Linked DNA regions of Diceros bicornis minor. The protein of the gene in region 2 purifies or fractionates together with the protein of the main gene of each other region. This does not show direct contact. Links are inferred from orthologs where the notes say so. Each region holds a gene or a part of one and is shown on either strand. Other genes may lie near its edges.

Region 1 (7,308 bases), on a different chromosome or scaffold from region 2:
GACATGAGTCAGGGCAGCTCCATATGCCCCCAGCCCCAGCCCCAAGGTTTCTGGGCCGCTGTGCCACGGCCCCTGTTCAAACATGTCCTCCAACGGACAGCCCAAGTCTCTGCTCAGGGCCCTGCTCCGCCCCAACAGCCTCGGGCCTGGTCAGCATGACGCAGAGCTGAGCAGGGGCACCTCTCCCTGCTGGGAGAGGGCAGGGGGAGGGAGGGGCACAGGCAGGGCCCCCCAAGTCTGCACACAGGCATGGTGACACTGAGCGACAGGACAGGAGCTGGCGCCAGCAAGACGAAGGGCCAGGCCGCTCAGCCCAGCAGGAGGGACGGAGGGGCCCTGGGGTCCCGAGGGCCACTCCCCCAGCTGCAGGACCCACGAGAGCTCGGCTGCCCTGAGTCTGAGCGGCTCCCAGGGCCAGCAGGGCGCCCACCTCAGGTAGCGGCGGATGGGCTCACAGGCCACCTCCAGGACGACCATGGAGGGGTCCAGCACGCGCAGTGCCTTGATGGCGGAAATGTAGAGGGTAATGATGTCGCACGTGTTGACACCTACGGCCAGGAAAAGAGACGTGGTCGCGGCGGCGCCCAGGACAACACAGGGACATCGGGGCAGCCGCACACTGGTCAGGTGGTCTTCAAGTCACCACTGGACCCCACTCCCCAGGAAACTGGCGCAATCCACTGAAGCTGCCCCCTTCCCCACCCACCCCCTCGCGACTCACACTTTCTCCAGAACTTTCCAAGATCCAAGCCCTCCCCTCACCAGGCGGTCTGTTCTGAGGGGATCATGCACCGCCGCTGCCCCCAGGCCAAACTTGTCAGTTATCACAACTCCCTTTGAAGGAGGGTGAAGCAGAGAGTCCCCCAGCCCCCCGAAAACTGCACAAAACTTAACCCGCTCCCCGCCTAGGCCCTGCAGGCTGGGACACTGGACCCTGGGGCTCCTGGGTCTGGGCCCTGAGAGCGGAGCAGGGCGCCGGCAGGGTTGGCAGAGCGCGAGGAACCTGGGTGGAGGAGCCGCGTCTCCAGGGCGGCCTTGAGAGACACGAGCAGCTGCTGCCTCTGGTCAGTCCTCTCTAGGCAGTACTTGAGGTCCTCGACGGCTGGCCGGGAGTCTGGGAAGTCTGCAAGAAGAGGGCCAGGCTTTGCACGCACATCCAGGGCGCGCACACTGCACATGAGATAGCAGGTGCCGACCTAGGGCTCCAGCAGCTACACCTACATCTGATGACCAGCACCGACACTTGCAGGTGCCGCACATCGCCCCTGCGCCTTCACATGCCCACACACTTGACCACAACGCCCTACAGGGCAGACGGACGGAACAACGGGCAGGGGTGAACGCCCAGAAACACCATCAGGCACCCTGCCACACCTGATCCCGACACTGGGCTGGGAGGAGTTCCACTGGGACACACTTGGACAGCACGCTCCAGGTGCCCCTGGCCACCCGCACAGCGGAAGGGCAAAGGCACAGGGAAGGCAGGTGGGCCGGGGGCTGACCTCGGATGATGCTGAAGAGCTCCTCGATGCGCAGGCTGGCATAGACGCGGTAGAAGAACCTCTGCACGTGGCAGCGCCAGCGGCGCAGCATGTTGCCAGCCTCAGGGGACGCAGGTCTGGTGGGGCCGTCCTGCAAGAACACCTTGCCCAGCCAGCCGACCACTCTCTCGATCCACTGTCAGGAGAGCACAGGTGTGGGGCGGTGGGGGCTGAGACCCAGCGTGACTCAGAAGAGAAGCTGGGAGAAGCCCACAGCTACCTACTCTGCCGGCCAGGCCCCAGGGAGTCCCCAAGGCCACCTGCTCTGGAGGCCAGGAGCACATGGAAATCAGCAGGATGAGGAAAACAAAGGTGGCGTCCCAGGTCCTCCATCAATGCACCCCCATGCCCCTCCATGTGCCTCAGTGCCCATGCTTATCTCTGGCAACAGTGGCCCTAACGTAGGGCACATAGCAGCTTGTGCTCGCCTCCGCCTGAGTGGACAGACTTGCCCTGAGGCCACATACACGACTGGCCCCCGCCACGTGTAAACAACGTACCATATAGTGAGAACGTTTCTGAGCGCACACACATAAACTTACAGGACATACTGCCACACGAACCCGAAGACACACACGTTCCCCTCATAGACCACCCAACCACTGATGAGACCACCCCAACACTCTGCCACCTGGAGGCAGCACAGCTGCCCCTACCAGGCCTCCAGGCTGCCACCCACTTCAGACCACTCCTGCGGGGAGAGACACTTGCTTTGAATCCCCCATTGTGGTTAATCTGCACCCTCAGAAGGTGGACACTAGGAAACCGAGGAGAACAGGTAGCAAGTGGAAGCAGGCTAGACGGCCGCTGAGGCTGGAGCCAGCTGCTCCATGACTCTGGGGAGCCCAGAGCAGAGCCCCAGACCACACCCAACAGCGTGGGCACTCTGAGGCCCCTCAATGGGACATCTCAGACCTTGGCACTGCCTCTAACCAGGTGATTCTGCACAGACCTCGCCGAGCATGTCACAGGCTTTCCTTGCTGTCTCTAGGGCAGGCCCAGAAGGACTGGCCTCCACACTCTGGCTGCTTCCAAAGCCGGAGTCTCAGGTTTGCCAGAAGCCTATCCCCCATCCCCAGGGATCAGGCTCGAGGAGGGACGTCCTCACCTTGTGGAACTCACGCAGGAAGGAGCGCTCGTACTCGCCCCGGCAGCGGTCCTCCATCCGCTCCCGAGTCACTTGGTGCAGGGTGGTGGTCACGGCCTCAGCACTGACCCGCTCCAGCAGACTGAGCCTATGTCTAGAGAAGAGCCCTGCCCGTGGAACACGCAGAGCACACACACCCCCACCCCCCACACTGGGCACACACCTCTCCAGGGCCCTCCTGGTGGGGGCACAACTGTACCAAGGGTTCTTCCTCAAAGCCGCTGGGATGATGGAGCATGGACAAGCCACTGCCCGCCCTCCCCAGCTGGCATCTCTGCCCAGGCCAGGGCACTGGCCTTCCCCAGGTGAGCAGCGTGTGTGGCTATCAGGGACCAAGGCCTCATCTAGAAACGGCTGTGAAACAACACCCAAATACATCCCTACTCTGGCCACATAAATACAGATACTGCTGTCTTTAAGTGCCTTTCAGCGCATACTCTCGTCTACGATGGCAAACAGATGCAAGAAAAAATGAAAAAGAACTTTTCTGCGTCACTTTCACCTGGGATGAACCCAGCAGAAGCCCTTCAGGGCCTCCCTGACCCCTGCCAGCAACAGTACCACTCCCTGGGTCCAGCTAAAAGTCTCTCCCCAACAGCTGTACTGCTGCCACGCCACTTGAAGTGACAAAATCATCATAAATGGCCACAGAGAGCGTAGGACCCATACAACACAACCTGGTTCTAACGACAATGACAACGACAACAACCTTTCCACTTCAAAGGGCTACAAAGGCAATCGCTTGCCCAGCATGTCAGCCTAATGTCCAACTCTCTCTGGAGAAGAAAAATAACAAGCCCACTTTTTGCAATTACAGGGTAGAACGAACATCATTCCTCCCCTGGAGAGCCTACAGAAAGCACAGCAGAATTCTGCGTGGCCCAGGAAACTTGGAACCACATGAGGTCTCAGCATAAGCAAAGCGTGGAACCCTAGGTTTACCTGAGTGACAGAGAGACACACTTGCGTCCAGAACAAAAGGTATAAACTCACAGCACAGGGATTCTGGGGACCCTCCCCTTGTCATGCCCGTGGCTATCAGGACAGGTGGCAGAGCCCCCAGCCAGCTCACCAGCTCTCTGCAGAGGCCAGCTGGACCCAGGGGAACAAGTGGGACTAAGGAGGAACAGGGCAAGGCCACACAGGCGGGAGTACTCACAGGACCTGGCTGAGCTGGTGGAACTGCTCCAGTGCCTGGCGGCACCAGCACTGCTGCTTGTCGCTGCCACATCCCGCACATAGCGGGCTCTGCAGAAGCCGGTAGTACCGGCGGCGGGCATACCTGCTGTCCAATTCCCCCTCCAGTTCTGGATCTGTGCCCCCTTCCCCTTTCCTCTTACTCTGCATATAGACTCTCAAGAAGCGCCCATACAGGCGCTGGATCATTTCCTGAAAGATTCTGGGAGTGGAAAAGAACAGGACGCCCCGCAACGTGGTGTGGACCTTTTCCCGCAGCCCCTGAGCACCGGTGCCCATCAGCAAGCCCAGGCGAGTCCATTTCTCCAGGAGCTCCAGGCTATGCAGGTAGGGATCCAGGCGGCTCTCCAGCAGGCCAAAAGCGTCAAGGAGCAGCAGAAGGCACTGGGGCTCGTCAGCACAGTTCTCGCGCTGGGAGATGGCATTCCAGAATTCCAGCGAGATGTTGGCCTGCAGGTCGTTCTGCAGCACCTCTACGAACCACTCCTCCAGGACTGAGTGCAGACCGTGGCCCCTCAGCACCTCCACCGCCGCCCGGAGCTCCTCCTCCTTCGGCGGGACCGCACCGCTGGTCCGGGAGGACGCCTGGAGCGCAGACAACCGTGAGGAGAAGGGAACACAGCGAAGAGGTGGGGAAGGCGGTGACGGCTGGGGAGAGGCGGGGAAGGGCCAGATGGAGGGGAGGCTGCGGAAACCCCGCTGCCCCTAGTCCGCGGCGCGCGGATGCCGGGCCGATGCCAGGGAAGGGCTGCGGGAAGCCAAATGAGGAGGGACCGTGGAAGAAGAGGCAGGACAGGGGCCGGCGAGGACGGCGCTGCAGCAACCCGAGGGCGGGCGCCCCAACAAAGCCTCCTCCCGGGCCTCACCAGCCCCAGCGCTGCCGGCGGCACCAGCCCGGTGCTCACGGTATTCCAGGCCACCAGCAGCTCCTGTGAAGGCGCGGGGTCGCCGTGCCCCGGCGCCGCCGCCGCCGCCGCCATCTGCGTCCACCCGCTCCCACAGCCGCCCGGCGCGACGCCCGGCGGTGAGGGAGGGCTGGGCGCGCAGGGAGATGACGCACACGAGGCGCGCGGCAGTGACGTACGGTGGGCGCGCCGTCGGGAGGCAGTGCGCAGGCGCGGGCAGGATGCGGTAGCGGCGGTTGGCGCGGCCGAGCCTGGGCGGCGACCATGACCGAGGAGGGCGCGGAGCCCTTGACCGAGGAGGGCGCGGCGACCATGACCGAGGAGGGCGCGGCGACCATGACCGAGCAGGGCGCGGCGATGCAGGACTACAACAACCAGCTGATCAAGGGTGAGCGGCCGCGCGGCGGGCCCGCTGAGCCCCGGGAGGGCGCGGGGCTCGCCCCTGCCGGCCCAGGCGCGATGGCCCGCAGCGCGTGGCCAGTGCGTGGGTGTCCGGCCGGACCGCGCGGAGGCCATGCGGATCTTCCCAGCGCGCGGCCACAGTGTGGCATCGCCGAGGACCGGATATCTATGGAGCGAGCAGGAGGATGAGGGGCTTGAGCATGCGCTGGCCCCTGCCCTACCCCCCGCCCCCGTCCCCGGCTGTCTCGTGCGGTGCCTTCTTTAACCCTTAGACCCCGGAGGTGGACACTGGCCGGGCTCAGGCGGAAGGTGGCACCCCCGCCCGCCACCACTCGTCTCTGCTACAAAGCTGTGGGCTGCAGACTGGGAGGGGTGATGCTCTCCTTCCTGCCCTGGGTCCACAGCGCCTGCCCCTCCCCGCCCACCCTAGGCATGGAGGTCCTGTGCCAGAGGCGGAACAAGTTGTGCCGGCAGATCCAGAAGGAGGAGAAGGAGAAGCAGCGGCTGCATAATCAGTTGAGGCGGTTGACAGAGAAGCTGGCCCTAGTCAACGAGAATCTGGCATGCAAGATCGCCTCTTACAAAGAGCTTGACCGGACCATCACAGAGTCTGAGGCTGCCTTCTTCAAGGTAGGGCTCGCGGAGTCCCCAGGCGGTTTTTGGCCTAGGGACACCCACAAGCAGAGGTGATAGGACTCCGGTGTGGCCGGGCCCACTGTGGAGTGACAGCCCGGCCGTCGGTGGGGCCTGGTGCGTCCTGAGTTCTGTTCTTTGCACCCTAAGTGGTACCATGAGCAGCACAGGGGAAGCAGCAGAGTAGCAGCAGGGGCTAGGGCTCACCTGGTGTGGCTTTCCCAGGGTGCGAGGAAGGGGCTTTGGGCTAGACTCGGAGGGAAAAGTGCCCTACTGACCCTGTCCGCCCGTCCCCTCAGGGGCTTCCTTTTGGCAGCTCCTGTCCCGTAGCCCCCACAGCCTGGCCCTGGCACCATGTGTGAGGGGGGCTGGGCTGCAGGAGTTTTCTGACAGAAGGAACCGTCTCATGCCTGTTTCTGTTCCCAGATCCTGGAGAGCTCACAGGCTCTGCTTAGTGTTGTGAAGAGGGAAGCCGGGAACCTGAGCAAAGTCATGGCCTCAGAGCAGGAGATCATTGAAGAGAAGGACAGTTCATGAAGCCACAGGTGGAGAGGGGCCTGTCTCCACTGCAGCCATTAATGGTTTGGCCCCTAGCAAGTCTGTCTTCACAGTGTCTGTTTTTCATGACAGGAGGTAACTTCTTTCACTGTCTCAGGTGCCAAGGGAGGCAGCTGCCAGCCTCCATTGGCCCTGAGTGACAAGAAAAGCCCTGGGCGCAGCCCACCAGGTGGGAGTCCTGGCCCTGTGCTCACTCAGGCTACAGGGAGGGCGAGCTCGGGGCCAGCTCCACTTGGGGCCTCTCTGAGGTCCCCATACTCCCCTCGGCTGTAGGTAAGGCCCTGGTTAGGGGAGTTCCTTCACCTTGTCCCTTGGCCAGCAGGTGCCCAGGCCTGGTGAGTGGGGGAGGGGCTGGGCCCCTCCTTCACCTTAGAGCTTGTCCTTGTGGTCTGTGACTGTCAATAAAGGTTGTCTTTGTAAAGATCCATGCCAGCCTGCTGCCTGTGTCAGGATTACGGGGCTGCCGGATACTCCCAGAGCCAGAACACGAGCCCCTGCCCAGCTATTGCGTAGCTCCTCTGTGAGGGAGAGGTTAGAGTATAGCCTGGAGTGGCTTTCCCTGTGACCAGCCTTGCTGGCCTTGGGGACAAAGCTGAGAGTGACCCTGAGGATCTCCCATGACCCTCATCGCCCACCCTCTCCGCACCGGGGCCACTGGCCCCCTCCCCGACTCCAGCACACAGCTCATCCCCTACTGAGGGGCTCTGCCTGCTGGTCCTAGTCTCTGCCACACCCTGGTGTCCAGCACAAGGCCTGGCCCAGGGAGACGCCTTTCCTGGGCTCAGGTCCCCCACCAAGGATTGCGCCCTAGCTCCATGATTCTAAACTCTGCTCACCGCGACGGCACCACTGCTTCTTGCCTTCACTGGCCACACACCAAGCGTGCCCACTTTCAGCTTTCCATGTCGCCTGGGGCCCAGCCCTC
Region 2 (7,835 bases):
TCTGCATCCCTCACCTCCATGAGCCCATCTCCCACCATTGGCCCCCTCCATTCCAGCACCTCCCTGCTTTTACTTTGACATGCTGAGCACACACCTACCTCTAGGCCTCCGCACAGGCTGCTCTCTCTCCAGATGCTCTCCTCAGATATCCTCAGAGCCACCCTCTCCCTAACTTCACACCTCCTGATGCCACCTTCCCTGACCACTCCTCATCTCTCACCCTCTTTTTCTCCAAAGTGCTTTTCCTCACCTAACATATTATATATCTGTTTACCACCCGTCTCCCCCACTGTAATGTCAGCTCCTCAGGGGCACGGATTTGTCTATTCCATTCACTGCAGTATCCCAGAGCCTACAACAGTGCCCAGAGCATAGTGGGTAAACAATATTTGTTGAAAAAGTAAATGGAGACACCGAACTCTGGATTAGGACATGAAAACCCCAGCCCCAGCAGAGGGCAGGAAGACAGAACGGTTATCACCATTAAGGAGGTGAGAGAAAACCCTTGGATGGGTGGTCTCATTTCCCCCAGAACGGGGACCACAAACATGCACAGGATCTTTACACATCAGACTCTCAGCATGTCCAACTCAGAAGGAGCGCCCACCTCTCCCAGCATGCCACAAAGGCAGACTGTGTCATCTGTGCTCACATGCTCAGTGGCTGGAGCATCACAGGAGCTCAATCAATGTTTGTTGACTGAACAGGGGAGGGCAGGCTCAGCATTAGAAGAAACTCAAAAAAGAAACAGTGTGGTGCTGACACAGAAAAGCATGGGTGGTCCAAAGCCAGGGAGAGAGGCTGAACCCACGTTGTGGAACACCGTGAATGCCAAGCTAAGGCCTGTGTGCTGAAGGCTGCGTGGTGGATGGACCCCTGAAGTAAATTTGCGCAGGCAAGTGATTCACTCAGAACAGAGGGCAGGCATGCATATGGGTTCATTCAATAAAGATCTGAGTATCCATCTGTACATCAGGCTCTGTGCTAGGTGCTGGGGATGTGGCCCATCTAATGCTCTCAGCTTAGTCCAAGAAGACAGACGGGAAATAAGATGACAAAAATGAACAAGGTAATTTCAGAGAGTTTAGGATGTGAAAGACACAAAGGGTCAGGGAAGACCTCTCTGAGGAGGTGACATTTGAGCCAAATCTTGAAGGCTGAGGAGCCAGCCATGGAAGAGATGGAGGAAGGAGGTACCAGGCAAAGGGAACAGCCAAGAGGCCAATGTGGCTGAGCAGTGGTGAGGTGGAAAGAGATGAGGCTCAAGCTAGATTGGGCGGGAGCTAGATCACATGAGCCTTTAAATGGCAAATAGTTTGGGATCATTTTTTTTAAGTCCCATGGGAAGCATAAAAAAATAAGTGGGTAGAAACAAGTTGAAGCTTGAGGGGACACTAGTATGGATAAGATAAAAACTAGAGAAGGCCTGAAAGTGAGTGCTTTCAATTCTCATCGCCAAACTAAGAGAGAGATCTTTCAACCAGGAAAAGATAAGGATCCATGCTTTGGTAGCAGATGGAAACTGCCTCTCCTTCCCAGATAACCTGTGACGTCTAGAAATCTTCAAGGGCAAGAGGGGCCTTATTTACCTGCACAGCCTCATTATATCCAACAGGCTCAAAATTATTTACTAAATGAAGAAGTAAATTAGAGACTCAGAAAAAGGAAATTAAAAACAAGAGACCTACTGTCTAACAAAGTGGTGAGGGCAGAGGACTTCTGTTCATGGCACAAGGAAGTGTTAGTCAACAGAAATAGTACTCAGTATGGACATCAGTGAGTACTACGGCTTTATGACCCAGGGAAGAGGAGGGATTCTAGAAGCAGGGTAGGGTACTGGAGAAAAGGCTTAGCATTTTAGACTGAGTTGTTCCCCTAACTGGATGTATGGGTAGGTCATCTTCTCTGGGCTTCAGATTCCCTGAATTAAACTGAGGGGCGGGACTATTCACCACAGAATTTCTAGATGAGTTCCAACTCTCTCTGTAGCTTTATATTCTCAGGTGTCCACCATCCCCATCACCTGGCACAGGGAAGGTGCTTCACGAGTATCTGCTGAATGGATGAAGACCAACTTCTCATTTTACAGGATTGGAAACTGGGGCTTGGAGGGTTAGGTGGTAGCTCAGGGATAAAGAGCCAAGTAATGGCAGTGTGTGCCGGAGGCCCTGGGACCTCCGACCTGGACACTTCTGAGCTCTCGGGTAAAGGTAACAACAGGGAAGCAGAGGGATGGTAGGCGGAGCCCAGGTTTGTTGGGTCACGGGGTGGGGGTGGGGGGTTCCCAGCAGAGGGCTCCCTGCAATCCAGCCGGCACCAGATAGGACAGTGCAGCTCTGGAATTGGACTGCCAGGGCTCTGACCCCAGCTCCACGCCTTAACCGCCGCATGGCTTTAGCCAAGTCACCTCTGAGTCTTAGTTTACTCTTTAGTAAAAGGCGGATAACAACAGAGCCTGACTTACAAAGGTCGCTGTGAGACCAATGAGATAAGCCTTATAAAGCTCCTTGAACAGTGCCTGATATGTAGTTGGGGCTCAATACGTGTTCCCGTTGGCGACACCTCTACCACTCCAGCACAGCACCTAACCCGTGCGGCAACTTTTGGGGACAGTTAAAAGGCGCACGCAAATGGAACACGTGGTGCGTGGTGAGAGGGACAGTAACAATTAATAACAATACATTTCCAGTTACGAGCCAGAGGAAACGTGCTCAGCACTTCCCTTACCCCCTCCGGCCTAGTTTATGAGGTCTCCACGTGCGGGTCCCTCTGCGCTCCGAGTTCGGCCTCACCGTGACCTTGGACCTGCCTCGTTCCTCCCAGAGTCTCGGTTTTCGCATCTGCAAAATGGGGGTGGCGACCGCCGCCCAGCCCGCTCCAAAGGTCAGGAGGAGGGTACCCCGAGCCGCGGCCCAGGTCGCCATTGCCGGCAGTGGGGTCGCTGGGCGCCGGGGCCTGCCTAGACCGCGTGTCCCCTGCAGGCCCTCGTAGGCCGGTCTCCATGGCAGCCCGCCCTCCCTACCTTCCTGCCGGCAGTAGGCCATGGCTGCAGCCCAGCGCTCAGATCTCGCAGCGATAGCGGCGGCGGCGGCTTCACGCCGTGACCTCTCCTCAGGCGCGACGGGCGGCTCCGAGGCCCCCGCGGACCCGCCCCCTCCGAGCCTGCCCGCCGCGCGCCTGCTTCCGCGCCCTCCCAGCCCCAGCCTGACCCGCCTCAGCCAGGAACTACATTTCCCAGCAGGCCGCGCGCCGCTCAGCAACTCTCTGGGGAGTAGGAACTACATTTCCCAGAAAGGCTTGCAGTGCGCAGGCGCATCAATGACGGACAGTGCATGTTGCAACGTTGTAGCTAAAGCGCCTGACCCTGGACTACATTTTCCAGGAGGCCGTGCGGCGCGCATGAGCAGAAAAGCTGGGGGCCTACGGGGCGGTAACCTACTGGCGTGTCTACTCTGGTTCTGGGCTTAACGCAGGTTGTCGCAGCTCTCACGCAGAGGAGAGGCAACTGGACCCCGCACTCGGGCCGTAAGCCCCCTTCTTAGCTGAGCAGAGCGAGGGGGCGGCGAGCTGGGTACTACCATGGCCGCGAACGTGAGTGTCTCCTGGTCCGCCGGGCCACACCCAGACTTCCCCATCAGCCGCGGCCTCCTCTTCCCCGGAGGGCCGCCGAGGTCCATTTTGCTTGTCTGACCCTTGTCGGGGCGGCCATCCCCAAACCCTCTGCGTGCCCGTGTCTGTGCCTCCGGCAACTAGTCCGTCCGTTCTTTTCTCTTAGCCTGTCCGGATTCCTTTCGGTCCACCTCATCCTCGGGTCGCGGGTTTGTGGGGAGGGAGGCTGCGGACGTCTTGTTCCCGGCGTTGGGATCTGCTTGTGCGCGGCGCCTCCCCGCAGCCCCTCCGTTCCTTCCCTCTGCCCGCCTGGGCCCTCGGGGTTCTCAGATTTGCGGACTCGGAGAGCTGGTCGGGACCTCGGAGAGAGGGCCTTCCGCAGGAAGGGTGGGGAAGCCGAGACCGCCCAGGTGGAGCTCTCCAGCAACGGACAGACAGGCGGGCTGTCCGGCGGTGCCGCTGTCCGGGCGGGCACTGAGCTCCCCGCCCTCGGCGGTATGTAAACCGAGGCTGTGATGCTGTAAAGGGGCGTAGGCTAGGTCGGGAGCGGAGAAGTTAGGATGACTGTGAGAGGGAGCATTTCCCTGCTCTCGGGCCCCTCGTCTTCCTAGCGTGGATTTGGTTAGAGAGACCCTGGCAGAAGATGGTTCTCTTCCAAAGGCTGCAGGTCTCTTCTCCCCACAGCCAGCCAGAATCTTTCCATTTAAGCCCAACATTCATTCAACAAACCGAGCAGCACCTCCCACCAGGGCGCTGGGTGTGGGAGAAGCTGGTGACTCACCACTCCGATCCTCTGTGAAAGTGCTTCTGGAGCCAGCTCGGGAGCCCTGCCAGCCCCGGACAATCCCTCCCTCCTGCTTTGGTGGAGCGTCCTGGCTACTCTCCCCTGGCCTGTTACACCCTCTTTTCAGGCCCCTCCTCTGTCCCTAGGCATCCTCTCTGTCCCCCCCCACCCAGGGTTTGTGTCACCCACAGCCGTAGCACACTCTGCCTGGTGTTAGCCTTGGAGCCTTGAATGCTGCACCAAGAAAAGCCTCAGAGGTGGTCTGTGAGACCCAGGGTCTGCCCGGGAGAGGCAGGCCACATCATGGGAACGTGTCGTGGGAAGGTGCTGAAGACTGCAGGCTCTGGAGTCAGGCCAACCTGGGGGCCAGTCCAGAGTCTTCCTCTCAGTAGCTGTGTGGCCTCAATCTCTTGCTGTTTATATTTCATCAAAGGATCTGTTACTGTGAAGTTTAAGAGAGACTGTGCATAGTAGGTACTTAAGGCATCAAAAAAAAGCCTATCTTCACAATCCTGGTGGGCAGAGACCACCTCGAGTATGTTGGGACCTGACCTTCGCCAAGGAATGTAGATGAATTTGCTTATCCTCTCCTCCCAAACCTTGGTTGATTCATCCAGTAGCTGGGTGCACATTTGGAGGAGCCACCAGGGCTGGTGAGGAAGAAAGATCTGAAGATGGTAGGGCGGAGCAGGGAGGCGACAGAATTCTTACTCAGTGTAACAGTTGTCCTGTGATGGAGGTACTGTTACCATCTCCATTTTATAAGTGAGTAAACAGGATCAGAGAGGTAGTGCAACTCACCCAGGGTTACACAGCAAATGATTTTAAGGGCCTATGTGTCGACATCTGTTCCCACCACTCATTGCTCATTGCTTCAGTCCTTGAGTGCTGGGACTGGGAGGGTATATGTCACTGAGGATATATATATATGTATTTAACACACATCAAGGAGCCAACATCAAGATCAGGGGCTTAAAGATGGCCTTGAAGAGAAGGAAGAAAGGCATAGGAAGGTGCCGCTCCAGCTAGGGGAGGGGGTGGGTAGTGAGGAGTGGGCAGAGAGGAAAGTCCGTGAGCCTCTGTATTTGCTGGGAGCTGGATTCAGAATGTGGGCTGGGTGTGTCATGTCACTGGGTGTGTCATACTCCTAAGCGGGGAGTAGCAGGACCAGCTTCTTTTCTTGACCCGTCCTGCCTGCAGCTGGCCCCCCATGGTCGCCTCTCATTACAGCCCAAGAAGTGAGGAATGCAGCCCAGGGCAGAGTGGCAGGAGAGTGGCCTTGGGCTGCCCGGATTTGAATGCTAACTCCATCTGTCAGAAGCTAAGTGATCTGGGCTGATGGCTTCACTGCTGAGCCTCCGTTTTCTCATCTGCGAAGTGGGGGAGTGATAGCGCCCACCTCCTTGTGCTTGCACGTGACTGGCCTGTGAGAGACTGGTGTGTTTGCCACTGTCATCATTATGATGGCTGGTGGTCACCTACCTGCCTGCAGCAAGTTGCTCCGCTGTTTCCAGATGGCATGGAAAGTCAAGACCATTTCTGAATGCAGTGGACATTGGCCCCTGGCAGGCCTGGGCTCGTGGCATTTGGGGAGAATTCAGAGAACATGGCCTTCACCTGTTTCAAGCAGAGGCTGACTGCAATCTCTCCTCTGATCCCCCCAGTCCTGCACTCAGGGCCTGGCTCACCCTGAGTGCTCATCTGGGAACCATTTTACATCTTTGTGGCTTATGTCAGCTCATCCCCAGCCTTGGTACCAGCCTTGGTATCAGTTACAGAGAAAGCTGATAACCTTCCACCGGTTAGAAGCTGTGCCATGCTTACTGTGCCCTAGGCACTGAGCCAGCTGATAATTACGTCCTCTGGTTCTCCCCACAACCCTCCGTGTTGAATTATTATCCCCATTTTACCGATGAGGAAATGGAGGGCGCCGAGGGGTTGAATTGCTTGCCCGAGGTCTCCTGGCTGGTGCACGGCAGAGCCTGGATTCAAACCCAGTCTTCTGGCTGCAGAGTCCTGCCCTTGATGACGACACTCTCGACAGCAGCGGACACATTCCAAACCATCCTTCTGTTATTGGCTGGATAAAGCCTGATCCACTGATTCTGGATTTGAGGCCTGCCATGAACCCACCGAGACGTGCCTAGCTGCCTTCGTCTCCTCGCCACACCCGCCACGACCCAGCCAGAGCAGATAGGCAGCTGTTCCCTGAGAAGCAATTCCTCCTTCCTCACCATTGCTCATATAGTTCCGCCTGCTGGGGATGCCCTCAGCCCAGGGTCTGCCTCTGAGAGCTCACTCACATCCCTCCTACAGGGAGCCTGCCCTGATCCCCCAGCAGGAAGGGGTCACTCCTTTAGCACTGGATTTGCTTCTCTCACCAGACACTCAGCATGGCCTAGTGCTGTTTGTGCTGTAACTCAATGGCCCTAAAGCCTCTCTACCCCTACAAGGCCCATCACAGCCCTCTGGAAGTTCAGCCACTGTTTGGTGAATTGAATTAAAAATGTATCTCTAATCACCTGTTTTTAAAACAATTTGGCAGTTTCTTAAAAAACATATATCTTCCCTCTGATCCAGCAGTTCCCCTCCTAGGTATCTATGCGATACCTAAGGGAAATGGAAGCACACGTCTGCATAAAGACATGTCCATGAACGTTCATGGAAGCGTCATTCATAATATCTAAGAACTTGAAACAACCAAGATACCCTTCCACTGGGGAATGAATCAAGAAACGTGTGCTCTTCCGTGGCCCACTGATCAACCAGGAAAAGGAGCAAGCCACTGCCATACCCAGCACCACAGAGATGGACCTCAGGAGCACCATGCTGAGTTAAAGGATCTGGACAAAAGAGAGTGTGTGCTGTACGATTCCATTTATACCAAGTTCTGGAAGAGGCAGAACTAATCTACAGTGATACAAATTCAAATGGTTGTACCTCCAGAGGGTGGGGAGAGGGGAAGATTGGCAGGGAAGGGACACAAGGAAACTTCCTGGGGTGACAGAAATGTTCTGTATCTCCGTCTGGCTGTTGGTCAGATGGGGGATGCATTTGTCAAAACCCGTCAAACTGTACACTTAATATCTGCTTTTTTACCATACGTAATTAAAAATCAATAAAAACTGAGTATAAATAAATAGGAAAATTCAATTTATTTTTAACGCCAATTTTCATTGTGAGTTTTTTTTTTTCCTTCAGTATTCCAGTTCGAGTAAGAGGAGAGAACATGTCAAAATTACGACTGACCCCCAGCCAGGCTTCCTGGAGCGGCTGAGTGAGACCTCGGGTGGAATGTTTGTGGGGCTCATGACCTTCCTGCTCTCCTTCTACTTAATTTTCACCAATGAGGTAAAATGTTCTGGGTCCCTCTGTGCAGATTGAGGGTCCCACAGCATCAGGAGCAAAGGCTCTGAATCTAGTGCCTGGATTTGGTAATGAG
Region 3 (7,919 bases), on a different chromosome or scaffold from region 2:
AAAGTAACAGAATGAAGAGGCAGCCTATGGAATGGGAGGGAATGTTTGCCAACCAGATACCTGATAAGGGGTTAATCTCCCGGATATGCGGAGAACTCCTACAACTCAATAGCAAAAAACTAATAACCCGATTTAAAAATGAGCTAGGGACTTGAGTGTCATACAAGTAGCCTATGGGTATATGAAAAGATGCTCAAGCCAAGGTCACTAATCATCAGGAAAATGCAAATCAGAACCACAATGAGATATCATCTCACACCTGTTGGAATGGCTATTATCAAAAAAACAAAAGACAACAAGTGTTGTCGAGGATATGGAGAAATTGGAGCCCCTGCTCACTGTTGATGAGAATGTAAAATGGTACAGCTGCTATGGAAAACAGTATGGAGGGTCCTCAAAAAATTAAAAGTAGAACTACCATATGATCCAGCAATCTCACTTCTAGGTACTTATCCAAAAGAATTGAAATCAGCATCTTGAAGAGATATTAGCATCCCCATGTTCATTGCAGCACTATTCACAGTAACCAAAATGTGAGAAGAACCTAAATATCCATTGACAGATGAATGGATAAAGAAAATGTGGTATGTACATACAACAGAATACTATTCAATCTTAAAAAAGAAGAAAATTCTGCAATTTGCTACAACGTGGATGAATCTTGAGGACATTATGCTAAGTGAAATGAGCCAGTCACAGAAAGACAAATACTGTATAATTCCACTTGTATGAGGTATCTAAAATAGTCAAATTCATAGAATCAAAGAGTGGAATGGTGGTTGCCAGGATCTGGGGGAAGAGGAATTGGGGAGTTACTAATCAAGGGCATAAAGTTTCAGTTAAGCAAGATGAATAAGCTCTAGAGATCTGCTGTACAACACTGTACATTGCACCTATAGTCAACAATAATATATTGTACACTTAAAAATTTTTTAAGAGGGTAGATCTCATGTTAAGCATTCTTACCACAATAAAATAAAATTCAAACAAACAAAAATACAAAGTGGCTACAGCATTTTGCATTCTGACCAGAAATGTACACCAGGGTTCCAGTGTTTGTTTTTTGTTTGTTTTTTTTTGGTGAGGAAGATTGGCCCTGAGCTAACATCTGTTGCCAATCCTTCTCTTCTTACTTGAGGAAGATTGGCCCTGAGCTAACATCTGTGCTAATCTTCCTCTATTTTTTCTATGTGGGATGCTGCCACAGCATGGCTTGACGAGTGGTGTGTAGATCCACACCCGGGATCCAAACCTGTGAACCCCAGGCCACTGAAGCAGAGCACACGAACTTAACCACTGTGCCGCTGGGCCAGTCCCATGGATTCCAGTTTTTTTACATCCTCATCAACACTTGGTATTTGTTTGTCTTAATTACAGAATTCTAGTAGTTGTGTGGCAATATCTCATTGTGGATTTTTATTTGCATTTCCCCATGCTCAGTGCCTTTTGTGTGCTTGTTGCCCATCCATATGTCTTCTTTGTTGAAATGTCCACTCAAATATTTTGTTTAAAAAAATTTTTTTTTTTTTTTTTGGTGAGGAAGACTAGCCCTGAGCTAACATCTGTTGCCAATCCTCTTCTTTTTGCTGAGGAAGATTGGCCCTGGGCTAACATTTGGGCCCATCTTCCTCTACTTGATATGTGGGATGCCTGCCACAGCATGGCTTGATAAGTGGTAGATAGGTCTGCACCTGGAATCCGAACCTGCAAACCTCAGGCCACTGAAGTGGAGTGCGCGAACTTAACCACTATGCCACCAGTAGTGGCAGCCAGCCCCTAAAAAATATTAAAAAATAATTTTTAAACATTGTCTGCTGATTGTTGAGTTGTAGGAGTTCTGTATGTGTTCTGGATGCAAGTCCATTGTAGGATAGATGGTTTGCAAACATTTTCTCCCATCCCCCCCCCAAAATATATAAGCACATTTAAAATGTTAATAAATATTACCAAGTTGCACTCCAAAGAGGAGGTGCTAAGCTTTATTCTCACCAAAAGTGTATGAGAATGCTGGTTTCTCAGCATCCTCACAAACATAAGATGCTAAACTTTGTTAATCTAAGAGATGAAAAATATCACACTGTTTTTAATTTGCCTTCCTTTAATCATTAGGAAGAGAATCTCATCAAATGTTTATTGACCAGTGCTTTTCCTCTTCTAAGAGTCGCATGTTCTTGTTGAAACCTTGTGTTTTTCAATTTTGCATCCCTTAAGCCCTGGTCCTTATTAAGCTTCCAGGGAATGTTTGCTGAATGAATGAAGAATGATACTGTGAAGAATAAATGAGATAATGTATCTAAAGTACTAAACTAATAATTAGTAATCAATTAATATTAGTTGAATTTAAGTCTGGAGTCAGGAGGTGAGCGCTATAATGCTCTTGAATTCTTCCCCCCAGGATTTGGAACGGTTGTTGTGAACTCTAGGATTCCAAGAGGCCTGGTTTCTCCCAGTCCTCTCACTGTGTGTTTTAGGGTAAATCGCTTAACTTCTCTGACCTTCAATTTCTCTGCAACAGTCTGAACAGTGTCTACAAGCTGCATCATGCTTATAGAAAAGGGTTACTGGGCAAAAAAACATAAGATTGATTTACAATAAGCATATATTCATGTATTACTTGAATAATTAAAACAAGATTAAAAAGTAAATGTGAACATTGTAAAAATAAAGGGTCATAAACCTAGAGACATAAAGACAGGACTAAAAAAAGAAGCTGGCTGCCCTTTTGATGGCCTTAAATTTCCTTTAAAAATATGTGACTTCATACTTGGCCCAGCCTCTCTTCCACCTTTCCCCCAACCCTCTATCGCCCTCTATTGCTCAGGTGGTCTCATTTCAACGTAGTTCAACGCAGCAAATATGATTAAGGGAAAAGTATCATTTGTGGCCAGTCCCTAACTATAGTTATCCACATTACCCTCACCAACCCCGACTCTGTTCTTGGCTCTGTGACCAGCACAAGGGACATAAAGATCACAGTCTGGTGGGGGACACAGACCTTCATGCCATTATGGGAATGACAAGAAACATTTCTGGAACAGGAATGACTCTGAGCCAGGCACTGTGCTAAGCACACTGCATGCATGAACTTTTAGTCCTACTGACAGCCATACAAGGGATCTGCATTTACAGAAGAGGAATCAGGCTCACAAATGTCACTGGATCAACGTCACAATTTAGTAAACATGGGACATGGATTCTGACTAAGATCTGTCTGCTCTCCAAAGCCAGTCCTTTCCTACCACATCATATCAGAATAAACCAACTGGTGGGGAACACTGACATGGGGGCATCTAAATCTACTTTGGGAGTGGGTGTTGTTGCACCTGGGAACACTTTATGGAGGAGAAGATCTCTGATTTGGGCAGAGAAGGGTGGTCCGGGCATCAAGAGCAGCAGTAAACAGGGACACAAACCTGGGACCTGTTCAGAGAACAGATGGTTGGGTGGGGTGTGAGGAAAAAGAGGCAGGAGACAAGGCTAGCATCAGATTGCACAGGGCCTTGAAGGCCAGGCTAAGGAAGGTGAACTTGAAATCAAAGGTCAGGGCTTCCCTACCTGGGGCGCATGTACTGGGGTCTCACAAGGTCATCAGGGGTGTGAGAAACCACAGGTAAATATGGCATATCACCTGAAATGTCGATTTTACTCAACAGCTTTGGGAAAAGGCAATCTTGTGTTATCCTATGAAAGATGTATTATAGAATTGAACGTAAAATTATATGAATTTTAAAAATAAAACTGGGATTTCAAAGACATTTCGCAGTTGCAGTAAGCTGCTCCCCAATAAGGAAGTGGTCGGAAGTAGCCCAATCTCCGATGCCATCAGGGATAGGTTAACAGTGGAGCCACTTGGGAAGCCATGGATTGAGCTCTCTGAGGGCTCTAGACTAGGGCTGGATGGGATTCAAAGATGCATAGAAACTGTCTTTGGAGGGCTTTCAGTCTAGGCTTTATGGAACTGATGATTCTGAGCAGAACAAGACAAAACCACGTGAAGTTCCTCTCTCTTCCCCATTTCCTTGACATGTTCCTCTTATACCTCATTCACTATTTTATTCAAAAAATATTTATTGCACTTCCTGTGTGACTTCGGAGAAGTTACTCAAACTCTCTGTACCTCAGTTTCCTCATCTGCAGAATGAGGATAATAATACCTACCCCACAGTGTCACAGTGAGTGTCACAGTGAGAATTAAATGAAAATTTGTATAGAGCTCTTACAGTATGGAACATAGTTCAGCACTGTTTAAGCGTTAGCTATTATAACAGTATTATCACTACAACTCCTGCAGCTACTGTGTTCCGGTCATCTTCTCCCACAGCCATTCATTCTTTAGGTCATTCGTGTTGGAGGCAGGGATTCTGGCAGGAATACTATGCAGACGAACCCGACTGCTCATTGCACTTGTACAAACTTATGAATATTGGTTTGTTCAGCTACACTTGGCACATAGTAGGTGCTCAAAGTGCTTGCTGACTGAATAAACAAATGTCTTCCTACTAAACTTCACGCTCTTTAAAGGCAGGGACCATACTTCCCAGCTGTTGTCTTACTAGAACCAAGCACTTGGTGAGGCACACAGTAGGCGCTTAGGGATTACGGAACTAACGAATGAATGGCTAGAGAAAGGGATAAATGACTGCAGGCAGAAAGTCATTAAGGCCACAAAGCTGCCACAGATAAAGCGCTGCAGAAAAACCGCCACCAGCTTTAGGAATGGGCTCAGCAGAGGAACAGATGTGACGGCAGAAGACCTTAACAACCAGGTAGAAGCCCCGGTTCGCAGCGCCGGCCTTCCGGAACACCCCGGCGGGCGAGCGCGGACCCCGGCGGCGCGCCCCGCCCAGGCCCCGCCTCGCCGGCTCACGTGACCACGGGGCGGGGGTGCGCGCGACCGGGGCTGAGCGGCTGGGTAATCGCGGCTTGGCAGCGAGGGCCATGGCTGGCTTGGTGGACTTTCAGGACGAGGAGCAGGTCAAGTCGTTTCTGGAGAACATGGAGGTGGAGTGCCACTACCAGTGCTACCGCGAGAAGGACCCGGACGGTGAGCGCCGCCGGCACGGCTTGGGGGCACGTGGGGGCACGTGGGGGAGTGGAGGGACGTGGTGGGGGGAGGGCTTGACGGGTCACGTGGGCGACCTCTGAGGGGATCTGGAAGGGCTCTGTGGGAGGCTGACGACGTTGTGTGTGTCGAGGAGGGGCGGATTGGTTTCCACGAGGGCCTGCGGGACTCGCAGAGGGGGAACGCTCCGCTGCACCGAGCCTAGAGGCCGGGGCGGGGTAGGAGGGGCAGTGCTTGGACCTTTAGGGTAGAGAGACTGGGGATACATCAGTGCACAGATGAAATCCCCTGTCCTCATGGAGCTTACATTCCAGTGGGAGGAATTGGACAATAAACATAAGGAAATAAATGAAATAGTGTGTTAGAAAGTAATATATGCAATGGGAAAAAGAACTGACTGAGGGGTCTCAGGAGTTCAGGAGGGCATTTTAAGTTAAGTGGTCTGGGGAATTATTGAGAAAGTGACATTTGAAGAAGATCAGGAAAACTTGTGCCAGCGGCAGGTAATAGCTAGTGAAAAGGCCCTGGGGCATGGATCTGCCCCGTGTGTTGTGGGAACATTGAGTTGAGTTGAGTGGATGGTGGTGTCCAGAAGGGGCCACCCAGAGCAGCCAGTGTCTTTGGGTGGTTTTCTTCTTCCTGCTTTATTTTTATAAAGGAAAAAAAAAAATGGCACTGGCCCTATCTTCTAAAAGCTTGCAGTCTGGTTTCCAGAACATGATATAGCTATTTCTTGAAAGTAATCAGCTACACCGAGTTGCTCTGCGGTATGATGACTTAAATAGAACCCAGGGTTGTTCTTTGAGGCCTGGCCCATGTCCTAAGTGTAGAGAGAATTCACAGGATTTGGCGTCACTGGGGAGCAGGATGGTTGGGGAAGACTTTTGGGGGAGGTCAGAGGAACAGGCAAGTGTTGATTAAATGGAGGAGAGGGTGGGAGAGGGAAATGCTGTCTTTTGGAGGTTGAAGTCAGAATGTCATGAGAAATAAGAGTGAAGAGGGAGCCTGGGCCACAATGTGTCAGGCTTTGAATGCCAGGGTAAGGCGTTTAAACTTTATTCTGTAGGCAATGGAGAGCCATACGTGTCTTGAGGAGTGAATTCATGGTAGTGTACTCTAGAGAATATACCAAGCAATGGAGTGGGGAAGGGTAAGCATGTAAGGATTGTCTGTGGCGCTTTAGAAGGAGAGCCTGAGAGGAGGCTGTAGTTACTATAGCTCCTGGTACAGTAGTTTCCTTCAAAGTCACCATAATCTCTCACCTGGATTACTGAAATAGCCTTCTAACCTGACTCTCTGTTTGCATCCTCACTCCTTTAAAATCTGTTCTCTGGGCCGGCCTGGTGGCGTAGTGGTTAGGTTCACACGCTCCGCTTCTGCAGCCCAGGGTTCGCAGGTTCGGATCCTGGGCGCAGACCTACACACCGCTCGTCAAGCCATGCTGTGGCGGCGTCCCATATAAAGTAGAGGAAGATGGGCATGGATGTTAGCCCAGGGGCAATCTTCCTCAGCAAAAAGAGGAGGATTGGCCACAGATGTTAGCTCAGGGCTAATCTTCCTCACACACAAAAAAATCTGTTCTCTTCTTGCAAAATGATACTTTAATTTTTATTTTGTTAGCAAAAATGTTTGTTTATTAGATTTTTAAATAACGAAAATTACACATTTGTTATTATCAGTGCTGGAGTGTGTCCCCTCATGCACTTTACTTCCTCCATATTCATCCAGGTATGTACAAACATACATACCACAGTAACCTTTTAAAAAGGCACATTGGATCATATCACTGCCCTTCTTCAAACCCTCCAGTGGTCTGCTGTTGACATGGAATAAAATCCTAACTCCTTTCTGTGTTCTCCAAAGCCCTGTGATCTGGTCCCTGCCTTCCTCTCGTTTCCTGCCCCTTTCCTCCTTGATCCAGCCTCATTATACCTTATTTGTGTCAAGCTTATTCCCTCTTTTGAGTTTTTTTGCTTACTCTTCCTTGTGCCTGGGACTTGCTGCCCCCTTCTCATTTCATTGTCTGTAAATAGCTTGTTCATTCTTGTTATTCACATCGCAGCTCAGACCTCAGTCCTCAGTGAGGCTCTCCCTGATCATCTGATCTATGTTAACCCTTCCCCCAACATGCACAGCAAACCGTCATATCATCCTGTTTTATTTCAGTCATAACATTTATTACTGTTTGAATACATCTTGTTCAGCTGTTTACTTATCGTGTTTCCTCCTCTAGAATGTAATTTTTAAGAGGGCAAGTGATTGCATTCCCAGCATCTAGAACAGTGTCTGGTACATAGATGCACATAGTTGCTCAAATATTTGTTGATTGAAAATGAACAAGAGATGAGTGTTATGGGGAATGAAAAAGAAGGGACAGAAGGAAGAGATATTAAGGAGAGGCTTGCTGGGACTAGAGACTGCCAAGGAGAGAGAGTATTTTCAACTCTGGTAGCTGCCATTTCTACTCTGTCTTTGGGCTTCATGTTCCTAGCCTGGTGAAGGAGGAAAGTACAGTCATCAAAGCACCCCTTTCTTGCTGCTGCAAAGACTAGCCCATCCCATGGGCCCTTTTGGTTTTCGGTGTTTTACTGCTGAACTTCCTGAGAAGTTCCAAAGCTAGCAGAGTTTCCATCATGGAAATCAGTGGGTCTTTGGGCCTGGCTGATAGGGAGCAGAAGGGTGCTACCAGAAGGGCTGGTGAGTGATGGAATCAGTGCAGGGCCCAAGGTCTCCCCAGTCCGAACATTGCTCAGTCCCCGGCTAAGGGCAGACAATGCCATTTGTAGAAATGGCTGAACGCTACCTGCATTCCTTGTGGTAAGGTCATCTTGCCACACCTCGGGAGGAGAGAGGCTGG
Region 4 (7,968 bases), on a different chromosome or scaffold from region 2:
GTTTTCTCATCTATAAAATGGGTATATCTATCATGCATAGTTATGTGAATGAATGAACTAACACATACAAAGTGGCTGGTAATTAGTAGATACTCAACTATCTGCCCAGTCTTTTCTTGACCCATGCCTGTACTGCTTAATTCCATAAACAACCTATGAAGCAGATTCACTGAAACTCTGAATGAAGTATGATTTGGGACCCTTGATGAACTGGCGATAATCTGTACATAAAAAAAAGCTGTCAGGTAAAGAAAAAAACAAAATCACTCTTCTCACCTGGAGTTTCTTGTGTTCTCCAGATAGTTTTCTTTGAGACTGTTTGGCTTACAACAGTATTTGAAGATGGTTCATCCTCTAAAGAATAGACATGAAAATTGTCAAAATTCAGAATATATGATCTAGGTAGAGATTATGCATATTAATAGCAATATATAAGCAGAAATACAAGTAATTCATTTCTTTAGAAATGTGTAATTAGGTTTAGCAAAACTTAAGAATTTAACTAGTCAGAAATACACACTCTTAAGACAATATAAAAATAAACTATTCACCACTGATGTTTTACAACAAAAGTATATTTACTTTAGAAAATTTAAAAGATGGGCTTCTTGTTGTTAGTGCTGTGGAGTCGATTCTGACTCCTAGTGACCCTGTGTACAGCAAAGCAAAACCCTGCCCAGTCTTTTTGGCCATCCTCTCACCTTCGGTGCTGTATCAGACAATGCTCTGTTGTTATTCATAGGGTTTTCATGGCCAATTTTTTTTGAAAGTGGGTGCTCAGGTCCTTCTTCCTAGTCTTAGTCTGGAAGCTCTGCTGAAACCTGTTCACCGTGGGCGACCCTGCTGGTATTTGAAATATCGGTGGCATAGCTTTCAGCATCGCAGCAGCATGCAGCTGCCACAGTGTGCCAACTGACAGACTGGTGGTGTGGTTCCCAGACCAAGAAACGAACCTGGGCCTCAGTGGTGAGAGCCACCAAATCTTAACCACTAGACCCCACCAGGGCTGGCCTAAAAGATGGGGTAGAGTTTCACTAATGATGTGGAAAAAGCAGAAGAGTGAAAAACGTTTAGATTCTTATAGACGTACTAAAATTGAGGTAAAACCTTTGTGTGTTAAAAAAAAATTAGCTAGTATAACTGCACTAGGCTCTGTGGGAGAGTCAATACAATGTAACACATATTTATTGCCTACTATGTGGAAAGCATTCTTCCAGATATTGAAGGAGATACAGAATTAAGGCAACTACTAAAGTATAACAAGGCCCTTCAAATATATATAACAGGATCTGTCTTCAGGAAGTTTATCTTAAAAGAGAGAGAAAACTCATATATATGGGCTAACCTGTCTTGAGTTGTTACATCCAATAGTAACTTACATATCTTTAACACAAAGTTTCCAAAATCAACACATCTTCAAATGTGTCAGCAGGTAAACGTGCAGTCCATTACTCTGAACTGAAAATCTACCTCCTCTTCATATCCATCAACGGTCTACCACTAACTATGTAATCCCATTGTGATTCAAATCCCCTGATTTTTACCTCATAAGTGCCTTACATGGGGCTAACATGCAACTTCACCTATGTGTGTTGGGGGGGGAAGGCAGGGTGGGAGAGGATGGATTAAGGAAGTTGATTCACCTGTGACTTACCTAAAACTATATACCTTGTCAGCATCCTTTTGGCCCATTCAGACGAAAACTAATTAGAGTCGTGCTTTGTCAAGCTCCTTAACCACTGAAGTTACACTGAGGGCCCCCAACGTGGCGAATTTCTGGCAGAGACCACCACACTGAAGAGAGAGCGATCAGCTCAAGTTTATCAGACAATGAGGAGCTTCAAGTTCAGGATAAACGACTTACCCCGTTTCAGGTAAGTATTTGGGTGGGGTCTCAAGTCAATTCACCAATCACGCTATCCCTCCAAACGCCCACTCACAAAATTTCCCCTCCCTCTCCCCCCACCTGGGTAGTGACGGAAAAGGAAGGAAAGGTTACATTAGAACCACGCTTCTCAACTGGGGACTTCTGGCCTCAGAGTTAAAGGAGGAAATGGAAGTGGCTTTGGTAGACACATCCGCAAGAGAGAGAGGAAACCGCAATGAAACCGAGCCTGGAGTGATTCGGCGTCCCGCCTAACTAGCCGTCCCCCGTGAAGGCCCGCAGAACGAGGCAATCCCGACACCCCTAAATTGATGCCTCGGGACGGGCAGAGCTCCGCGGCTCTGCCCAGGCCGCCCCGCAAGACTGCCTGTCCAGTCCTCCCGCCCGAGCCTCTTTCCCGCCTGCGCTTGGGCGGACCCCACGTAAAGGCGCACGTCCAGGGGGCGGGGGAGCCCCGGAGCCCCGGCGGGGATGAGTGCCGGGGAGGAGCCCGCCCGCCCGCTGCACGCCAACATCCCACGCGTGCCCGCTCGCTCGCTGGCTTTCGGCTGAGACCGTTACCTCCGCCGGCCTCACCTTCAGAGGAATGAGAGTCCCGTATCCCTCTCCTGGTCGTAACCGGAGACGGCTGCAGCGGAGGCTGCAGTGAGTGCTGCTGCTGTAGGCGAGTAACCCTTCGCGTCTGCATCTCCTCGGCTTCCAGACGTCGCAGCTGCGTCCGCCGCCGAGACCGAAGGTAGTAGGCGCTTTCTCTCACTTCCTCTTTCCCAGAGTCGGGCCGGAACTCTCGTAGCGGGATTCGTCTTCCCACCGGGGACTTTTCTTTGGCCACCCGGGGCTCGAAGTCACCGTACACTTCTGGCGGCTCTTCTGAGAACCTCACTTCCCGCCGGCCGTGGCGCGACGGCGGAGTTCCGTACGCAGGCGCATTACTGCCGCCGCCATTTTGAGGGGCGAGCCGGCATCTTCTTTCCCGCAGCGGGGCCCTGGGCGTGACGTACCATGCCCATTCTTCCCTCACCGGCTCCGCCCGCCGCCCCTCGCCCGCCATAGTTGTTGACGTAGCTTGAGTCGACCGCGAAGATGGTTTGGGGGCCCCTAGATTCTCCAGCCGTCGATGGCACTGGCTTTTCGGGGCTGTTGGGCGGTGGTCGCGGCCGTCAGGGAGGTAGTTGAGAGTCGCCGGGGCCGCCGCCTGCGTCGTCGCTGCTGTGCTGCAAACCTGCCTCTGGGCCCATGGTGTGTCCTGAGGGCTGTGGGAGAGGCAGTGCCTGTGCTGGGTCAGCTGCTGTGGGTCACTCCCGCCTCCTGGCTGAGGGCACCAAAGAGGAGGAGAAGAGGGAGGAGGACGTCGCTGTCCTTGGCCTTGGAGGAGGGAGGGAGGAGACGACGGAGAAGGGACAACTGACGGGGCAGATTTCCTCTCCTAAGCCCAGCTGCTCGTGGCAACTGTTGCCCGAAAGCAGGAGACGCCCGTCCTGGCGCCCAGTGCCGAGTGTCTGGGAAAGGCCGAGCAAGACGGGGGCGGAGGAGAAGTTTGCGTCCTCGCCCCCTGGCTGTTGCGCAGTTCTCCTGGAACCTTTTTGATGGACTGCTTCCTTAGCCATGCCTCTTCAAGTGTCCCTAGCAGAGTGAGGATAAGAAAGATACTTTTGCAGGTCTTATATCTTTTCTTGGAGAAATTTTTATTTTCAAGCTCCTTATGAAGGCAGGTATCCAGTTTTAAATTTAAGTGACCTGTTGCGAGTGTACAAAATCGTACCTACAGGCATACTCGGGTGGATTTCCATTTGCAAAATGTACGCAGAGCAAATAGGCTCTTATTCTTGGCTTTCGTATAAAGGCTCTGTGCCAGCAGCGCTCTTCGGAAACCTTGTTAGCGCTGTGTTACGGGCAGTGAGAAATGAGCAAATACTTTGCTTAAAGCCGCGCTGTCTTTTAACTTGTGATCCATTATTTTTACTTTGATTCTGGGCATGACTTGAAATACTGCGTTTGATTTAGGGTTTCCTGCGTTTAGTTTACTAAGAAAGCATGATAACTGTTTGTTTCACCTCCGTATACCATAGTTACAGATGTGAATAATCTGCAAATATCTAACCAAATTTAGACACACCGAGGGAAAGTTAAGTTAAAGTCTGAATAGTTACTGAAAAAAAGATTAATGTTACCTTCAAATATACACGCTTGTCTTGCAGGACTTTTCTGTAATTGATTTTAGTGAATAGATTTAAAAACTTGTAACTTATACCAATTACAATGAATGATTTTGTAAAGTTTGAAGGTATTTGTTTATTCTATCAAGTCTTTTAAACCCCTTCTAATGTTTTTGAGCGACTCTTGCTCAAACTAGGCACAGATTTCAATTTAATGAAATATTAAGGTGTACTGTGTTTTCACTAATAGTCTATAAATTTGGCCCCAGACACAAGGAATTACATACTTTAGAGAGTCACCTAGGTTTTAGCTTGTTAGGGATTTAGTTTAGTTTAGGTTTGTTTACAATATACAATATAGCCAAAGAAACTGGAGAAACAGTAACAAGGGAGATGCTTTTTTTCTTTTTAATCATTTATCTTAAGGGAAAATTAAAAGTGTATTCTTCTTTGTCAGCTTGAGTTAGTATATTTGGAAAATTTGTGAGAATTAACTTTTCTGACAAAATGCTGAAGAATATAGATACTTGGTAATACCTGGCTTTTATTTACTTATGTTTTAAGTAAGACTTTCTCTATAACGTGCCTATTCTATTACTCATTATTAACATATAATAGTAAAAGTTCCGTAATAGATGTAATTATTAAAGGATATAAAACCTCATAGTATTAATGTGCAAAGTTCATATTATGTACATTAATGCGTATATTAAGAGCCTCTTTAAAACATTTACCAGGACAAATGACTAAACAGAAATTTGGATACAGACTTGTGAAACTTAAGTTTGGGGTATACTAAAAAAGAGAGAAAGGACAAGAGGTTCTGCATATTATTGAACAATCAGAGAAGATGAGAGGTTCTACGTATTATTGAATAATGAGTACATGTGTTATTTTGTAATTAAAAATGCTTGTAAAGGCTTAGGAATGACTTTCCAAAGAAACGAATCATGAGAATCTTAAAGAAGAATCAGAGGCACGGTAACTGGAACATTAACATGTATATTTGCTTAGGATTTTCCGTCTTTTGTCTAGGTAATAAAACTACATAATCCTAGCTCTGCCATACCTGCCTCCCACACCTAGCAACCTTACAAATACCAACTTTAATAACAAGTGTGAGGTAAAGCTAAACTCTCATCAAACCAGATATTCTGCTGTAGATGTTTTCCAGACTACAAGGGTGGCCCAAAAGAAGTGACATTGCAGAGACAGACTCATAGCCTATATTATAAGGGAATTGCGGAGCCACTAATACGAAGAGGAAAATACTAAGAGGAGCTCTGGATGTTAGACAGTTACCTTGGGAATTTGAGATACGTGGAGGAATTCAGTGAATCGAAAGAGAAGACAGTTAAGAAAGGAAATGATTGTAAGAAAGAATACATTGATGTTAATAAATATATGAATTAGTGAGTGTATTCTTTACCAAGATGTTTAATAAATATATGAATTAGTGAGTGTATTCTTTACCATTAGGGAATTTGCCATATATTAGGTAGGAGAGATATACTACAAATTATAATTTAGATTAAATGATGCGTTAATTTATATATCTAGCTGTTAGGCCTAACTCTTGACACTGGATTTCTAAATAAAGCAGCTATTTTAAATGAAACATTTTATTTTAAAGTAATAATTTTTGTACATGAGTTTTTTGTTTAGAGTAGGCAGAAATACAATTATTTACAGATAAAGCACTGTCAATTTATTGTGCATAATATGCACATTTCTGGTCAGATAGGGAAATAAATAACTGGGGTTTTATCTTAGTAGAAAGAGGCAACATTGTTATTTTTAATAAGGAAAAGATGATTAAAATATTAGAGGAAGTAAATTAAAGACATAGTAGTTGGCTCCATTTATTCCCCATTCTCACAAGTGACAGAAAAAGTATTTTAAAGACTTTATACGAATGAAAATGTGTAGCTGGAAATGTTATACTGAAATTAAGAAAATTTAAACTCAGTGAAGTGAATGGAATATAATAAATATTCTTCCGCTTATTCTCTGTTGAATTAGAAATTGCAGTCAATTATTAAACATCATCTAAGAGTGTTTCCAAATCCTGTGACTTCTGCCAAAAGAGGATGATTGAGAGGTGGAGGCACTGATACATGAAGAATCATTTATCCAATAAATATTTGAGTTTCTGCTGTGTACAGTCAGACCATGTTGTAGGTGCTGGAGATTCAACAGTGAAAGAATAGACCAAAGGCCAAAAATCCTCCCTGCCTTCTTGGAGTTTATATTCTATGGGAGTCAGATAAAAAATCAAAATAAGTAAAATAGTGTGTTGGTCAGAAGTGTTACGGAAAAAAATGAGGAAAGGAGAAGTGAGATTTTGAGTAGATTTCTTCTATATTGTCTTGAATTGGTGTAGGTCGGGAACAGAAGTTTTAGATTTACTTAACTTTGCCCCTAGCCAATTATGTGTTCTTGGGTAGATTGCTTGCCATCTCTCCGTTTTCACATTTGCGAAATTACTAGATCAAAATAATAGCTACTCTTTATTCATCATTTACTACTATCATTTAGCAGACACCGTTAAGTACATTAGCGCATTTCCTCACAACCACCTTATGAGGTACGTAGCGTTGTCCCCAGTTGACAGGAGCAAACTGAGGTTTAGATTAAGCAACTCGTTTGAGGCCAAGCACCTAGTAATGGTAGAGGCCGGGTTCCAAGTGTGATGTCTGACTGGTGCTTGCCATCATCATTGGGTAGTGCCTCTCACTGTGTTGGTTCCATGGGTTCTTCCAGCCTATGCATTCTAGATCATTGTAAGGGTTAGGGTCGTCCGATGCGCTGCGGAGATGCCTGCTTCCCGTCAGACAGCAGCACGGGAGCCGGGACGGGTGGTTCTGCTGCGCGCGCTCACCACGCCTCTTGCTCTGGCGGGGCTGGCTGCGGGGGAGTGGAGAGACGTGCGTGCGGGCGACTGGGGAGGAGGAGGAGGGGCCGGGCGACTACCAGTCCCGGCATTCCGCGGGCCCTCCCCGCCCGGAGGTCACCGTCACGTCACGTGGACAGGCACAGGGAATACGTTCTGTTCCGCCGCGTCGGAGGGGTGCAGCCTCTGGTTGTGGGGCAGAAAGAACACGCGAAGGGCTCCGCTGACATTGACAGTGGACGGTTTAAAACCTCGCTAGGATTTGTAAGTAAACAAAATGTATATACAACCTTTCCATGTTTTAATGTTTGATCTGATATCTGATTTCGAAACATCTTTCAGAAACGATCCCTCCCCACCCCCACCTCCCTACTGCAAAAACCCTAAGCGGAGCAGATTGGGGGTATATTTTTGTTTTGTAGTAAAGAAAGATAAACAGAACCTTATAAACCTTAACACTAAGATGGGAATAAATGTTTGGTTTGGACTTTGAGAAGGGAAGCAGAATTCCTATAAGGCTCAGAATGTAAACGGGGAATCAGACTACCACTGTAGGTGGTGATTACTTCCCTTTACCTCTGCCAGACAGGATCCCGTCTTTGGTCATCTTAATCCTTATGAGATAGTACCCCCCCCCTTTTTTTTAGCTTTAGTGGTGCTAAAAAGGGCAAAGTTTTGAAGTTTTAGTAAGATTCTACAATTACCATTTTTCTTACATATTATATATGTATTCCCGATTGTATTTCATACCCAATGAGAGTTTACCCCTTTTTCCTTCCTTCACGGAAGTGTCTAGCTCTCTACTTTATCAGTAGTGCTTAATTGTTAGACTTTATATGCAGATGCAGAAGTGTTATCTTAATCTGCTTCAACATACTGTTTTTGTTTCATTTTTACCTGTCTTTAGGTTTTAAAACATTTTATTTTGAATCTATATGAGAGATCCTTTCCTTGTCTCTATTTTTTAAGTATTAGGGCGGTGGCAGCTATCCGTATTTTTCAGCTTTATTTTTCAAGCACATGATTAGTATATA

What was found.
Region 1: the proteins of CHCHD4 (region 2) and SSNA1 purify together in Homo sapiens (co-immunoprecipitation; 3 studies listed by BioGRID and IntAct, with this or other methods). This does not show direct contact. The link is inferred for Diceros bicornis minor from reciprocal best matches to the Homo sapiens genes CHCHD4 and SSNA1.
Region 3: the proteins of CHCHD4 (region 2) and cytochrome c oxidase assembly factor 7 purify together in Homo sapiens (co-immunoprecipitation; 3 studies listed by BioGRID and IntAct, with this or other methods). This does not show direct contact. The link is inferred for Diceros bicornis minor from reciprocal best matches to the Homo sapiens genes CHCHD4 and COA7.
Region 4: the proteins of CHCHD4 (region 2) and TOR1AIP1 purify together in Homo sapiens (co-immunoprecipitation; 3 studies listed by BioGRID and IntAct, with this or other methods). This does not show direct contact. The link is inferred for Diceros bicornis minor from reciprocal best matches to the Homo sapiens genes CHCHD4 and TOR1AIP1.

What each region holds. Positions count from the first base shown.
Region 1 is NC_080767.1:43,714,903-43,722,210, forward strand, and holds SSNA1 (microtubule nucleation factor SSNA1), read left to right. Parts: upstream 1-5,020; 5' UTR 5,021-5,054; coding exon 5,055-5,178; intron 5,179-5,622; coding exon 5,623-5,822; intron 5,823-6,251; coding exon 6,252-6,362; 3' UTR 6,363-6,808; downstream 6,809-7,308. Other genes in the region: ANAPC2 (anaphase-promoting complex subunit 2), read right to left, coding at 431-548, 1,004-1,123, 1,503-1,677, 2,650-2,782, 3,848-4,470, 4,752-4,865. UniProt on the Homo sapiens protein: Microtubule-binding protein which stabilizes dynamic microtubules by slowing growth and shrinkage at both plus and minus ends and serves as a sensor of microtubule damage, protecting microtubules from the microtubule-severing enzyme SPAST.
Region 2 is NC_080741.1:88,706,156-88,713,990, reverse strand, and holds the start of CHCHD4 (mitochondrial intermembrane space import and assembly protein 40), read right to left. Parts: upstream 3,012-7,835; 5' UTR 3,004-3,011; coding exon 2,793-3,003; intron 1-2,792. Other genes in the region: TMEM43 (transmembrane protein 43), read left to right, coding at 3,580-3,591, 7,595-7,744.
Region 3 is NC_080752.1:15,013,420-15,021,338, reverse strand, and holds the start of cytochrome c oxidase assembly factor 7, read left to right. Parts: upstream 1-4,895; 5' UTR 4,896-4,938; coding exon 4,939-5,044; intron 5,045-7,919. UniProt on the Homo sapiens protein: Required for assembly of mitochondrial respiratory chain complex I and complex IV.
Region 4 is NC_080743.1:87,166,012-87,173,979, forward strand, and holds the start of TOR1AIP1 (torsin-1A-interacting protein 1), read right to left. Parts: upstream 3,044-7,968; 5' UTR 2,937-3,043; coding exon 2,462-2,936; intron 355-2,461; coding exon 277-354; intron 1-276. UniProt on the Homo sapiens protein: Required for nuclear membrane integrity. Induces TOR1A and TOR1B ATPase activity and is required for their location on the nuclear membrane. Binds to A- and B-type lamins. Possible role in membrane attachment and assembly of the nuclear lamina.